Arabidopsis thaliana: one gene and its partners. The protein of the gene in region 3 binds, or shares a complex with, the protein of the main gene of each other region. Each region holds a gene or a part of one and is shown on either strand. Other genes may lie near its edges.

Evidence for each region.
Region 1: SIP3 (region 3) and CBL2 share a complex: the UniProt entries of both Arabidopsis thaliana proteins name them as parts of the K(+)-channel calcium-sensing kinase/phosphatase complex.
Region 2: SIP3 (region 3) and CBL9 share a complex: the UniProt entries of both Arabidopsis thaliana proteins name them as parts of the K(+)-channel calcium-sensing kinase/phosphatase complex.

What each region holds. Positions count from the first base shown.
Region 1 is NC_003076.8:22,669,008-22,674,629, reverse strand, and holds CBL2 (calcineurin B-like protein 2), read right to left. Parts: upstream 3,518-5,622; 5' UTR 3,085-3,517; intron 2,616-3,084; 5' UTR 2,559-2,615; intron 2,478-2,558; 5' UTR 2,442-2,477; coding exon 2,318-2,441; intron 2,182-2,317; coding exon 2,099-2,181; intron 2,001-2,098; coding exon 1,941-2,000; intron 1,845-1,940; coding exon 1,736-1,844; intron 1,661-1,735; coding exon 1,608-1,660; intron 1,514-1,607; coding exon 1,433-1,513; intron 1,356-1,432; coding exon 1,243-1,355; intron 1,109-1,242; coding exon 1,051-1,108; 3' UTR 1,000-1,050; exon of another isoform or gene 775-999; intron 717-774; 3' UTR 530-716; downstream 1-529. Other genes in the region: AT5G55980 (serine-rich protein-like protein), read right to left, coding at 3,988-4,329; AT5G55970 (RING/U-box superfamily protein), read right to left, coding at 5,318-5,464. UniProt on the Arabidopsis thaliana protein: Acts as a calcium sensor. CBL proteins interact with CIPK serine-threonine protein kinases. Binding of a CBL protein to the regulatory NAF domain of a CIPK protein lead to the activation of the kinase in a calcium-dependent manner.
Region 2 is NC_003076.8:19,129,017-19,133,838, forward strand, and holds CBL9 (calcineurin B-like protein 9), read right to left. Parts: upstream 3,289-4,822; 5' UTR 3,092-3,288; intron 2,861-3,091; 5' UTR 2,712-2,860; coding exon 2,633-2,711; intron 2,250-2,632; coding exon 2,167-2,249; intron 1,844-2,166; coding exon 1,784-1,843; intron 1,689-1,783; coding exon 1,580-1,688; intron 1,487-1,579; coding exon 1,434-1,486; intron 1,313-1,433; coding exon 1,232-1,312; coding exon of another isoform or gene 1,175-1,231; exon of another isoform or gene 1,144-1,174; coding exon 1,031-1,143; intron 944-1,030; coding exon 880-943; 3' UTR 624-879; downstream 1-623. UniProt on the Arabidopsis thaliana protein: Acts as a calcium sensor involved in abscisic acid (ABA) signaling and stress-induced ABA biosynthesis pathways. Contributes to the regulation of early stress-related CBF/DREB transcription factors.
Region 3 is NC_003075.7:15,065,204-15,069,810, reverse strand, and holds SIP3 (SOS3-interacting protein 3), read right to left. Parts: upstream 2,784-4,607; 5' UTR 2,412-2,783; coding exon 1,086-2,411; 3' UTR 628-1,085; downstream 1-627. Other genes in the region: AT4G30970 (uncharacterized protein), read left to right, coding at 501-545. UniProt on the Arabidopsis thaliana protein: CIPK serine-threonine protein kinases interact with CBL proteins. Binding of a CBL protein to the regulatory NAF domain of CIPK protein lead to the activation of the kinase in a calcium-dependent manner.

The DNA of each region.
Region 1 (5,622 bases), on a different chromosome or scaffold from region 3:
GAAAGATAAAAAAGCTGAAGAGACGGCATGAAGTATGGCTATTGAGTTGAGTTGGCTTTAGAAGCACTGTTTGATCTTGAAGTTGAGTTTGCGTCTAGTATGGCCGAAGATAAGATGAAGAGTAAAAGTTGCTTTTTCTAAATGAAAAGCGCTCCTTGGAGAAAGAGATAGTCTACATGGAGCGTGAAGAACTTTTAGAAGAGGTTTCTTATTTCAGTCTTGTGTAGCAAAACAAGAAGAATGGTCTTCCTTCTCCTCAAGAAAGAACATGGAAGTCATTGAAGCATAAATGAGTCATTCTTCCATTGCCTTACTACAAACACAATGTTCCCCTCATCTACAATGGATGGGAAACTTGATTGGCAAGTCACTTCCTTTTGTATTAATGTAGGGTTCTTGGTGAGGGAAAATCGCTAATTCTTCAATTAGGTTTTTTTTCCCTTTTCTCACCTCTTCTTCTTTTTGGAAGAACATTATTCATGTCTCTGCTTCTCAACCATCCCCCGAAGCTCTGCTTTCGTATACCCTTGTTGGTAAGATCATCTCCTCTTCTCTCTAATGGCGTCTCATCGAAGATCCACTTTTTGTCATCATGTAAGTTGATTCTTGTGGAGCTGATCTCGGAAAACTCGTCATTAGGAGGGCTGGTGACATCACTCAGTTTTGACTAGTTTTGCTTACAAGTCACATATGAAATGACTAGTTTTGCTTGCAATCTAGAAATCCATTGAATTAATATTAAAAGCTAACTCTAATAACCAAAACACAGAGATTGAAGCAAATCTTTTTAATTGGATTAATAAATAAACTGAAAAACTTTACATTACCATAACATCAAGATGCAAAAGTTGTATCTACAGATAGACCGAGCGAAATCAAAAAGGACAAAAACCAAACTAAAAAGAAGAATTTTGCTTCACAAAAAAAGCTCAATAAAAAATAAAATGAGTTCAGAGATTTAGAAATGTAACAAATAAAGAACCATAACGAAAGAACAACCTTCAACAATACAATGATGTCTTGCCGCTGCTTGCTTTTGCTTTTGCTTTTTCAGGTATCTTCAACCTGAGAATGGAACACAAAGCTTGGAAACGTAGTCGTGATATCCCTGCAGAGCAAGCACACAACAGGATCACGACCTTTATTACATATCATGGAGAATAGAAGAAAGAGAAACCAGAGAAGGAATTTGGTTGAATAGATTCAATCCTGGTTATATAAATAGAAAGATTTGGAACTCACTTGAGATATTGAAGAGTCATGTTCTTCAGAAGGCTGGGATGTCTAAGAACAAGGCTTCTCCACTCTTCCTTATCGATCTTTCCATCGTGTTTTGTGTCTGCTTCCTCAAACGTCTGAAACATTCAAAACTCGGGAAATTACTTTCAAAGAAAAAATATAGGGTGAAGAGGAAAAAAAGTAAGTAACTTACCTTGTCGATTATATCCTCAATGACAGTATCCTTCAAATTCATTCCAGATTCAGCAAGCGTAGCGACAACCATTTGTTTCACCTGGACAAATGATGGACGAAAATGTCAGTGAGGATAATAAAGCGCACTTCTACAAGGTTATATATGAAGCTATTTGAAGATATGGAAGCTTTACCTCTTGCCGTTCGATAAACCCTTGCTGTTTAAGATCATATAGCTGAAATGAAACTGCAAAAAAATAGTATATATCATTAATGTGTTATCCCAATCTTGTTTTTGAGATACAAGCTAAAAGGGACGTACAGTGAATTTTGTCATCTATAGGCGCATTTGGGTGAAAGACGGAGAGAGCACGAGCAAATTCCTCAAACCCCAGTATTCCATTGTGCTTTGTATCAAACAAATCGAAAACCTAGAAACAAAATCACATATTTCAGCATTTCTTCTAAACTTGATCTTGACAAAAATGGGTTTAAGAACACTTATAATGTGAAGAAAGAAACATTACCCGATCTGCAAACAAACTCTCTTTTTTATTTGTCTTAAACAAAGCCAACTGAAACTCTTCCTGATACAAACAAGAGATGAGTAAATTAGACAGATTGTTAGATCAATCACTAAAGCTTTACCAAATGAGGAAGAAGATCAAACAAGTTAGAGTTATACCTTGTTTATTAGCCCATCATCAATCACGGCACTGCTGATTTTCTTAAAAAGCTCATAAAGAGCTTCTATTTCACTCACACTAACTGCATTCCAAAACCAAATTCAATCATCAATAGTCTTCAGAAGAAATATTTTTGCATTCCTCAAATGGTATTGCATCGAATCTTATAACCGGAAAAAAAAAAAAAAAAAAAGAGTAGAGAAGGTGATAGGGCATACAAACAGTGTCTCTTGCAAGCAATTCAGGATCTCCAAGGCCACCAGATTGTTTATACAAATCAAGATCAAAACACCCTAAAACAGAGGTGCATAAATGCTTGATACCGTCAACGCACTGCGACATGATATATCTTAAGCAGCAAATCAAAACTCTCCATGCCTGCATATAAAACATTGTGAACTTGTTTTGCTAATTTCAAAAAACAGCTCTACAGAAGCAAGCATATGAAGAACACTGTACCTTTCAACCATTTCCTAGTGTTTTTTGCTGAGAAAGGATGAGACTTTGCGAGAGTATCTGTAACACAAGTTGCAAAATTCAGAGTAATCTAAATAAGTCAGTCAATATAGGCAACACAAACATTGCTTAGAAACTGAAGTCATTATCATGATTTTACTATTCAGATGATTCAGTTATGTCCACATAATATATACAATATTGAAGAAGATAAGAAAATTAATGGAGAATCTAAAGACTTAATCAAAGCTCATTAACCAAATTTTAATCTTAAACATCACAATTTATGGACACACAAAATTAATAAAATCCATCAGAAACAAACCCAAATTGGGAAATTTGAATTTATACATTAATGAACTCAAGGATTACACAATCAATTACAGGTTCTGAGAAACAAAACCCGATCTAGATCCCCAAAAATCGTCCTAATGGATTCGTGAATCGCAGATTCAACAGAGATAGAAGAATCTTGATATGTAAGTGAACTCAAAATGAGTAGAATGGATTTGCGTATACGAAAATTTACCGATTACGTTGATTCTCAATCTCAAGTCGGCTCTGGTTGTTGAAGCTGAGCGAGGAAGACGGAGACGATTTGTTGTAAAGCAGAGGAGAGAGTTGGAAAACAAATTAAAACCTGAAGAATCTTTTTAAATATCTCAACAAACAACAAAAACTCAATCTTTTTGCATTATTACAAATTAAATCCTGAAAAATCTGCTCAAATCGTCGTCGTTTTATTCTTCAAAATACGGTTCGATTTGATTTTCGTTCCGGTTAAGTAAAACTCGAGCTGAATTGAACCGGACATAAATTTGAATTTCACATTCACCCATAGAATATATGATCTATTGTGCTATTGGAGAATTTAAGTTTTCAAAAAATCTTCAAATTAGTACATTTTTTACGATGTTAAATGCAAAATAATCATACAAAATCAAAGATAATATGTGATATAGCCATTTTTTTCTATTGTCAAATTTTAAATTTTTGACAAGTAACATATAAAATCGAACCTCCCGAAATGATAAGTTCAATTATATCTTCAGAAATTTTAAAAATAATGTGATCATCAAAACGTTTACAATATATATAAATTTGCAAAAATATATTATATTGCGTATTATTTCTGACTTCGTAAAATTATTTTATATTTTCTTTATATAAAATGTAGACAGAAAAATTCATTTCAAGTATTTTTGAAGCATATAAAATGTGTATGTAATAAATGCTTAAATTTGAATCAAATTGGTGAAAATTAGATAAAAGTTTACCTTGAATCGGGTTAAGCCGATTTCAAGCGGTTTAGTAATACAGACCAATGTCTTTTTCGATAAAAATTATTGAACAATGTCAAAAGAAGAAGTAGAAGAAACAAACAAATAACAAAACCGACAGTTATTATACCGAACAAATCCAGTAACCGGGTTTACTGAGCCTTGAGGGAGTCACTAAACCGGCTCGACTTGGACGACAATAAAACAGCGAGGTTCGACCCAATAGACCCGGCACGTGTCAACGAATCAACGCGGTGATACCTGCACCTGAAAGAACCGGCGTGTGTCGTCGGAGAACATAAACAATTTAGCCTCGTAGATTTACCGGAGGACGATCTCCAACGTTTTAAACTAGGTGAGTTATTGTCTTGGCTCTTCGATTCAACGGTAGAGCTACCGGAGGGTTTAGGGTTGATCTTGGCTAAACTTGTGGAATACTTTTCTTGTGCCTTAGGTTGTCCGAGATTTAGGGTTGAAGGGTTTTCTTTCGTCATGGTTTTGACGAACGTAAATAAGAATGAATTTGTGTTGTTGTTTCTTGCTAATGAATCAAAAGGTAATTTCTATAGTGACTTTTGTTATGAAGGTAAAGAATGATTTGTGTTGTTTCTTGCTAATGAATCCAAAAGGTCATTTATAATAGTGACTTGTGAGAGAAGGCAGCTAAAAATAGTCGTTGGATGTTGTTGACAAACTGCTTTTTTAAGTTATTGGTGGTTAGTATTCTAGAAAAGAGTTATTGTAAATTAGTAGAAAATATTTGACTTGGAGGTTTTATTCTTCTTTTTATGGTTTACACATTTTGTGCAAGGACAAATATTATGACTTTTCAACCAATTAGGAACATACTTAGTTGTGTTAGTGCCAATTGAGAATCTAGAACAGTCTAATTTAAAGATTCTGTAACCAAAAAAAAACATCTGATTGTTTTTGTTTGGTTTGTGCCTATTTTAGGTTTTGACAGACTCAAAGGCTTAAAATTCAAACTCTAAATTAAACACCCTAAGACTTACTTATATAGCTGAAGTCAAAACCATCTCAAAGACTCCAACTATTTAGATGCCATGTCCAAAACTTTTATACTTATGAGATATAGTTAATGCTATAAAAATATTTCTTTTAAGAAAACCGACATCCTAATTGATAGTTAATGAAGTAATGTTTGGGTTTTCAGTTTTAAATTGCAAAAAAAAAAATTGAACATATAAAAAAATATATACATCAAGATATGTAAATGAGACGAGAGAAAAAACAAAATATGTAGTATAAACACTATATTAAGATTCTATAAAGTTGTTGCCATTGTGATTTGCATCATCTACTCACAATGTACATAACGATTACTGGTGAGCTCTTTATGTACAAAAAATTTGACACTCACACAAGTAATCGACTTTGCTTCAATCCAAAACTAAAAAAAAAAAAAACTGAGAAAGAAAAAAATTATATTGAGCTTTTGTTGCTTTTAGGGTATTTGCTTTGTCATCTTGGAAGATCTTGTTTGCAGAGAGGACAACAAGAGATGATACGAAGCCATTGATCTACACACTTTGAGTGAAACTTATGTGAACATGGAAGCTTCCTTACTTCTTCTTTGTCTTTATACTTTGCCAAACATATACAACACTCCTGCAAAACCAAATCAAAACTCAAAATCTAAGTCCTTTTCAATCATAAACGAGACTAATAGACAACATTCGACATCAGATTCCCTTAGTGGATCAAAACAGAGCTATCACAGATTAAACCTTATGGTCCAAGAAAACTTGTGGATTTGGCTTGAATTG
Region 2 (4,822 bases), on a different chromosome or scaffold from region 3:
GCAATTATAGAGTACAATACAGTACTAATCCGAGGTCGAATCTGCGGTTATACAACAGATTAACCTCTTCTCCGTATTTCCGGGATTCTCTATACCATGCCATTTTTCTTTTTTTAGATATGGACAACGTCCCACTATCACGCTCATCTAGATTGTGCCAGGGGAAGTGTCATCTTCCGTGAGAAATTTCTTTTTGGTATCAACTCTTGAGTTTCATACAAATGATTCTTGTCTGAACTCTTGAGTTTCAACTAAATGATCCTCAAACTTGGCTTTTGTAGTCAAAGAACATGGAGGATATGTAAAAGCGTCGCCGTACAGGGGGATTAGAGAGAATCACTCCACAGCATGGAATGTCTGAATCCGCTTGAGTTCTTTAGCTACTGGGATCATCATTGGTCTGTCTTCATCTCAAAGCCGGCACCACACACGTCAATTCGGATTTATCGGTTACAATAAATTCAGGTCTGGTTTGATTATAATTTTAGTTTCATTTTGGTATTTTTGAAGTTTTCAATTCCCTTAATAATAATAAATTGATTTATATGGCTAATTTCTTCTGTCTAAGCATATTTGACTTTGATTTCTCGTTACATAAAACATAAAGTGTTGGAATAATTTATGAGCAAAATCAAATCTTTAATCAGAAATTGTGGTTTTATATTAATCTTTTCGTAGAACTACAACTTGAGTATTCAAAACTGTTAAAGAAAGAGAGCCAAAAGTAATCGCAATACATGAAATTGAAATCCAATAGACTAAAAATTCCAAAGGAAATAGAGCTCGATCCTGCTATATAACATTGTTGGAATCAATCTTCTTTTTATTCTTGGTCCAGCCTACGACTTGGTCTCTATAAACCAGCTTGTCTTGTCTCTTTCACGTCGCAATCTCGTCCACCTCCGAGTTAAATACGAAACTCGGAAATGTCGTCGTTATATCCCTAAAATTGAGTTTTTAAGTCCTCAAACTTGGAAAATGGCACCAAAACTGGCCAAATAGATGGAAGTATCATAGTAAGGAGACATACCTGAGATACGGAAGAGTCATGATTTTAAGCAAAGATGGGTTTTTGATAACGAAATTGCTCCATTCTGTCTTATCAATCTTTCCATCCCGATCCACATCTGCGTCCTCAAATGTCTGTTCACGAAAAGAAAAAAAAACTCGAGTTTCATAAAACAGTCTTTCTTTTGACAGAAAACAAACTTGTAATAGACAACAAGTAAACCTGATCAAGTATCATCTCTATTGTATCATCAGCCAGTTTCATTTCAGATTCGCAGAGAAGTGCAATCAACATCTGCTTCACCTGCCAAAAACGCATACACAATTATGATTACTTATAGATGATGCAGAATCCATAATACTGAAAGTCTTTGAAACATAGATTGTTTGGGAATGGAATGTGAAGATATAGGACCATTGTTTACCTCTTGGCGCTCAATGAAGCCTGTGCAGTCCATGTCGTAAAGCCTAAAGGTAACTGATATATGAAATACAGAATAACATGAATAAAAGTACAGCAAGGCTTTAGAGAAACGACGATGGATATAAACTCGTTTATGGGTCAACTTACAGTCTGTTTTCTCCTCTAGGGAAGCATTAGGATGGAAAACATTGAGTGATCTCACAAAGTCTCCAAAATCAATTACGCCTTTTCGTTTAACATCAAATAAATCAAATATCTGGAAAAAAGAGCATTACCATTAACTACTTATAATAGAACTAATCGTTACGACTAACTACAAAGTTACTAAGGCCAAAGAAACTTAGAATTTACCCTATTGGCAAACAAATTTTCTTTCTTTCTGTTCTTGAACAAAGCAAGTTGAAACTCTTCCTGCATAACAAGTTGGTCGAGAAAATAAGTAACAATATCCAAGAGTGGGCCAAGAAAACATCAATTTTTATAAGCAAACCAATATAAAAAATGGAATTAAAATTCAAGTCAACTATCATCAACACAGAGACTTGGTGAGCAATAAGGAGCCCACAGCTCAGCATGGAGATTCAATAATAAATTTGTGAAAGTCAAGAAAGTTGACAAATAATACGGAATATGGATAATGGTGCAATGAATATTATTATGTCACTGTACATCACGCATTCAAGATTCTCCCATGAGGTGCGAAATAATCAAAGGGCTATGAGATTTATCATTACCTTGTTTATCAAGCCATCGTCAACAACCGAGCTGCTTATGCTCTTGAACAATTCATACAATGCTTCAACTTCACTAACACTAACTAGAAAAACAAACAAATAATTAGCCACACTGCGAGATTTCTCATCAACATCATGTATATCACCAAAACAAAAATCGAAAGTGATGGTTCTTGAAAACTTTCTCTGATTAAGATTCCATTTGAAAGTAGAAGTAAACTACACTAATGATCCAAGAAACTATTGAAATAGGTTTATGTGATGACTTAAGTAACAACAAGCATCATTTAACAAAGTTGTAGATCAAATAGATTATGAATGAAAGAACCATTTTTCGGATTCAATAAATGGCGAAAACAGATTCTCATATCAGTTAACAATTGATAAAAGAGAGATCTTTATGCTCATGCTCTTTGAGAATAAAGCAAAGAAGAGAAAACGAAACGTATAGTGCAAGTAAACTTACAAGCAGTCTCAGAAGCAAGCTTCACAGGGTTTTCGTGATCGGGAAATTCTCTGGCAGCCGTGGAATGGAAACAACCCATTTACGGATGACAAGAGTAAAACGAAGAAGAAGAAGCTTGTTCCGGAGGTTGATAAAATCGCCAAACTCTACTACAATTTCTGAGATTGTGAAAAAGCTTGATTTCTGATATTACTCACTCCCCATCATCATCATAAGCATCTTTAAAAACTACAATGATTCAATCAAAAACAAAACCCAACAAAAATTGAATTAAAAGACGAACACGATAATTGAATAAGTATAAACCCTAGAAAAAATAAGCAGCAGCTATGTGGCAATCGAATTCAGATTAACAAAATTTTGAATATTAAATCGGAAATTAAACAGGTAATGTAGGAGCGGCTCGAGAATCTCCGAACCCAGAAACTGAATGGTGAAATCGAAAAATTGAGCACTTACCACCGAGAGAACGGGCTCGCCGGCTCGGTGAGAGAGAGAGAGGAAGGGATTTTGATTTTTGAGAAACGAGAGAGAGACGAAGAAGAAGATCTCTGACCACGATGGTAGATGAATTGATCGGACGGCTGAGATTAACTTCAGACTTTGCTGGGCTTTTTTTGTTCGTCAGAGGCCTCCGATTGGGGAAATTATGAGAGAGTTTGTTTATAACATGATCGTCGCACGTGTGAGGGTCTGAACGCGTGTGAAACACATCCTTGTCATTTTTACCTCTTTTTTTCTACCAACCCCATTTTTATTTTATTTTTATTACAGTGTGGGAAGAAAACAAAGCCATTATTGTTGTTTGACATTTTAGTTTCGAAATTTCAACTTTCAACTTTCCTTTTTTATTGGTTAAGAAAGTTAATCATTTTTACAAGTTTTCTTACAATTCTGCAATGATTTTGTTTTGTTTTTGTTTTTTTATTAAAAGAAAAATATTTAGACTCGAATTTTGTTTTTATGTAAGTTTATAACTGTAAGAAAAAAAAAGTGTAGAGAGGTAACTAGTACTTGTAGAGTCAAGATTTAACATACTCAAAAGATACTAAGAATGATATTTATTTGTATAAGATATAATTTTCAAATTGGATCTTTCATTTTCATAATCCATACAGATGTCAAGATCTCATAGTCTTCAAGATCTTGCAATAAATAAATATTAATATGATAACCCAACTAGCAAGGGGACTAATTACTGTATTTATCTATATATTCAAGATTCATGTAGAGTGTGTTTGATAATAATTTCAATATGGGTCATATACCTTTTGGGATAAACGAAGAATTATAATAATTCTGGTCACATTTTAGTAGTCTAATCAATCACGTAGGACAAACAAAAATCCAATAGTATAAAGGCGGTCTAAATAAGAATTATGGATTAACATAATTACTTTTATATAAACCATAAGACATGATCTAATCATGTATATTATCAAATTTTGAAACTAATTAAGTACGTACGCCATCCAACAATCCAATAATGTAAACTATATAATGTTCGCCTAAAAAAAAGAAATGGATTAGCATATCCATAAGACATGGCCAAATCATGCATGTTACGTATATTAAATTTGAAACTGGGATCCTGGCTCTAGTAAGAGTGGTTTATAATTTTATATTGGGTTTAGAATTCCAAATTAAATGGTCAAATTCTTTCATTCCAATACAAGCAGAAACTTTTATGATAGTAAAAAGATTATGAGAAGACTTATGAGGTGTTAAGAAAGTGGGAGATGTATTATGAGGAGGAGAGATTATGAGTATAGTAAAAAGATTATGAGAAAAAAGATTATGACAATAGTAAACAAGAAGGTCCATACAGTATCCATGTTTTTCAAGAAAGTGGGAGATGCCAAAGTCCTGGACCTAATATTTTTGTTTTAAGTTTTGATAACTAACTAATTTTTTTTAAATCAGACACAAAAATAAACATAGACTGTTGATATTTTAGAAAATTAAGATCTATTAAAAAAATATTGTATTTTCTTATAGATAAACAAAAAAAACTTTTTTTTTACTAAAAGACTAATATCAAACTGTCCTAAGGTCCCTACTAATTTTGGGCCGGTGGTCCTGACAAGTGACAACAGTTTAATGGTCCATTTTGTACTTAAAATTGAGTCAAATTAGTTGCGGCAATAAGAGCAGAGCAGTAATGTGTTACACCCTTAAAGGACGTTAGTA
Region 3 (4,607 bases):
GAAACTCGTACTGATACGTTTTCTTAAAACTGGGGTAGACCTTTGATCGAAACTCACGTTATTTTTCGATGGAAACAAAAGAACCCTTCACAGTTTCAACGTTGTGGCAGTAAAAGATGGTTATTCATTTTTCGTTTTTTATGTTACAGATCATGGGTTGGTGTTTGCATCTCCGTTAATGAATCACATGTTTGATATGATTATACTAAGAATTCTATTAAAAAGAGAGATATATACTAATATAATATTAATCGGGTTCATGAAACATCCATCCCAATCACGTAACTTCTACTTTTGTTTTGCTGCCCACCTCATCTTCCTTTTACTTTTCATATTCTATTCACTCATCTGAATCCATCTACTCCACTATTATTTATAATCAACAAATCAATGAATACTTGTCACGATCATTTTATTCAAAAAAAAAAAAAAACTCTGATCACTAATCATACAATCGTCGTCACATTTGTGCTAATCATATCCCTATTGTTATATGACAGATTTTACTAACTCGACTTACTCCACAAGCCCTCTATCATCGCTAGCGACTGAATTAACTTGATGATTCTACTACTCATCTTACCAATTTAAAACGCATAAGCTAAACGACTCAATAAAGTAAAAACGCAGAATTTTTTTAAGTACTTGTGTTAATACAATAGTCACATGAATCTTGAAGAGTATATACATGATTCAACACGACACTACAAATTGGACCAGCATAAACAAAGATGATGTCCTAATCAATCCAAGGTAAGAAGAGACGTGCAAAAAAAAAAAAAAAGACATTTGATGAGAATGAATGCATAAAAATTGACTCTTTAACATTCTTAAAAGAGTCATGATTATTATTTGTTGATGATGGAATCTTTAACACACCATTCTACACCACACACAACATTCTCTGCTTCGTGACGCAACATATCGGCCACGACTCAAACACACACAAAAGACTTACAACTTTTTGAACGATCCAAACTATGATACCACATTAAGAATCAAAAACAAGAATCACGAATCGAATCTAGAATCCAACAATATATATTACAACATAAAAATTTGAAACACGCAAGAATTCATCAAATTCAAGCAGGTGTAGAGGTCCAGAAAATGTCCTTGAGAGCTGGTCTAAGAGCAGTACTGCAGAAGTTGTTGTACTCAAGCGTATCTCCATGATCTTTCTTCACTTCCACGACAACAAACGACGGAGCCACCGCGAATATCTCCGCTTCCACCGCCAATTTCCCTTTCCGACCATTCTGTTTACCTTCAATCCTTACTCTACTCTCACTCTTCCTCACATCAAACTTATTCCCAACTCTCGCCGCTTCTTCCAAACTCGAAATCACGCTACTCGCTGGCCGAGACGTCGCGAATCTCATCTCTCTTTTCTCCTCTTTCTTCTTCTCCTCAAACAACGGCGACAAATCAAACCCTTCCGATAACGCGATTATATGAAACGCGTTTAACGTCTCCGTCTCTTCCTTCGACTTGTGCACCAAGAAATCAACATCCTCTTCCGTGGTTGTGATTGTGGCAGCCACTGGTTCGTTTCTTGATCTCGTTGCTTGTTTCTTGAACCAAGGCGAATCCATAACCTTCTCAATAGTAATCCTCGTATTCGGATTCGGATCAAGAAGCTTAGTCACAAGCCGTCTAGCATCAGAAGAAAGCCAACCAGGACATTTGAAATCTCCTCTGTAAATCTTCCTATACATATTCACAAGATTATCATCTTGAAACGGCAAATAACCAGCAAGAAGCACAAAAAGTATAACACCACAAGACCACAGATCCGCCTTAGCTCCGTCGTATCCTTTCTTCAATATAACCTCCGGCGCAACATAAGCCGGAGTTCCACAAGTTGTATGAAGAAGTCCGTCTTGTTTCAAATGCTCAGTGAAAGCAGAGAGACCAAAATCAGTCACCTTGAGATTACCTTCTTCATCTAACAAGAGATTCTCCGGTTTCAGATCTCGGTGATAAACACCACGGCTATGACAGAAATCAACGGCTGAGATCAATTGCTGGAAATAAACACGAGCTACGTCTTCACGTAGTCTTCCTTTAGCCACCTTAGCGAATAACTCACCGCCTCGTACAAGCTCCATGGCGAAATAGATCTTGGATTTACTCGCCATGACTTCGTGAAGCTCGACGATGTTTGGATGTTTCACCATCCTCATCACAGAGATCTCTCGTTTGATCTGATCAACCATACCAACTTTCACCACTTTCTCTTTTCCGACGACTTTCATCGCCACGCTTTTTCCGGTTTGTATGTTACGAGCGTGGTACACCTTCGCGAATGTTCCGTGACCTAGAAGACGCCCTAGCTCGTAACGGCCGTGAAGCAGCCCCGTACTACTACCACCGTCAGATCCATTCTCCACCGGTTTTGCTCCGACCATGGTTTTTTACTTTACAACGATGATTAGAGAATTTTGTAAAAAAGTAGAAGAAAAAAAAGATTTACAGTTTTTCGATATCTTCGAAGAATTCGAGAGACGAGAGTTTAGAAAACTGGATCACCCGTCCTCGACGTGTTTCCGGTGGCAATTCCTGCCGCCGACGGATCGGTTAAACCGATCACACAGCTTAGTCTTCACCGGCGATACTCCGACCATCTCTCTGCATTCCCTTACTTAGGATTTTTTTCCCCGAAATTCAAATAGAGATTTCAGAAGTAAATTTTTGAGTAAATAAACGAAACTCTCGTTTAAAGTTAAAAATCTTAATTCTCCTTTTGCCGTCGGATAAGAGCTAGCAAAAGAGTAGTGTTTATATAGATCTTAACGACATTGCAATTACGTAGATACCCTTATTAGGGAGTGATAACTACACCGTTTAACCTCCTTTCGCTGACTGACATGTGTCTTCGGCAATCCCTTGGCGGCTTCGAGTTTGTCAATTATTTGGATAGCGATGACGACACGTGTCTTTTTATGACCGGTCACGATGCGATTTACTATTCTATCCCTCTAGTGTTTCGTATTACGGATAGGGATTAACGGCCTAGTGATTAATTTTTTTAGGGCCTGACGGATTAAAATGCAGCGGGTGCGGTTATGGTTGCGGAAGTTTGCGGAAACTGGCGGTTGCAGTTTCAAGCGTTATCAAACGTTTTGAACGACTGGTTGAACGTTTGATAATGGGTGCGTTTGCGGGAGTTTTATGACTGGTAAACCAGCGGGTGTGATAGTAATTAAACAAAAATAAACCAAAATAAATATAATATATTACTATTAAAAGAAAGAAAAATATAATATATTATTATGATAAATTCATAATATTAGAAAAATTAAATATAATTAAAAATTAAAACCGTAAATAAAACATTAAATTCAAAAATAAATAAATTTTGCAAGAAAAAGCTTAATACTTTATGCATTTGGTACATCACCAAAAATTACATCAAATAGTGTGATAAACTGTAAATAACGTTGAACTCGCGGATTTTCCAGATTGCCTCTATACATATAATAAAGTTTCTTCAAGATATCCAAACGATTTATAACACATCTCCAACTCAAAAAAAAATCAAACTGGTCGTGAATGGATGAACGAATATATGATACTTACTTTTGATTATTGATTTTGATTTTAATTTTTATCCGTTTGGGTGGATGCCATAATTGAGAGAATAGAGTTACAATATATTAATTATTAGAGTTTTCTAATAAGAATAAGATATATAGGGTTTGGGTGGAAAATATAATTATTTTAATTAATTATAAAAATAATTTTTTTTTTAACCTAACCGCTACCGCCCGCAACCGCAAACGCTTGCGGGAAGGAGCTTTTGAAATCTGGCGATTTCGAGCGGTCCAAAGCGATATCTAGCGGTTTATATGATTGGTGCCAATCGCTAACAACCGCTACCACCCGCAAACGCTGCGTTTGCGGGTGGCAGAGGGAGAACCAATCAAGCCCTTAGTTTAACTGACTACTTACCCATTTGCATTGCATTATGCATATGGATAATTGAGGGAAATAGCATAATTATATACAATGAATCAAGTTCTGTATCTACAAAAATTCATAAGGTTTATAAAGAAAATAGTTGTGTCTTAATGTAGGGTCTGATAATTTTCCATAGATTCCATGATTCTTTACTATAATTTGTGTTCAATTGTTTTCATTCGTTGTGGTCCTTGTGGACCATTATGTGAGTGTAGATTCTAGGGTTTTCTACTTCATTTCTTTGTTTTTATACACGAAGATGGTAGATAAACTGTGAAGTTTTTCTTGTTTATTTTGAGGCTATAATTTTTGAAACGGATGTTGTAGCAAGAATATATAAATTAAAAACATTCATAGATATGATAATTATCATGTGGTCCGTAAATAACTAAAGTTTGGTTTGCTGAAGATTCTCTATATTACTACAATCAATCAATTAGCTAATGAGTTTTGAGAAGATTTTTTTTGTTTTTGTTTTAAATCGTTCCATTTTAAGAGGAAATATTAGATATGCTATTTTATTAAGTTGTTATGCCCAACAAATAAGTCGTTCCATATACTTTTCAAAATGTTAATAACATATTACATAAAAAAAAAAAAAAAAAACTGGATTAATCACAAAACTGAAAAAAGTTTTGAATCAC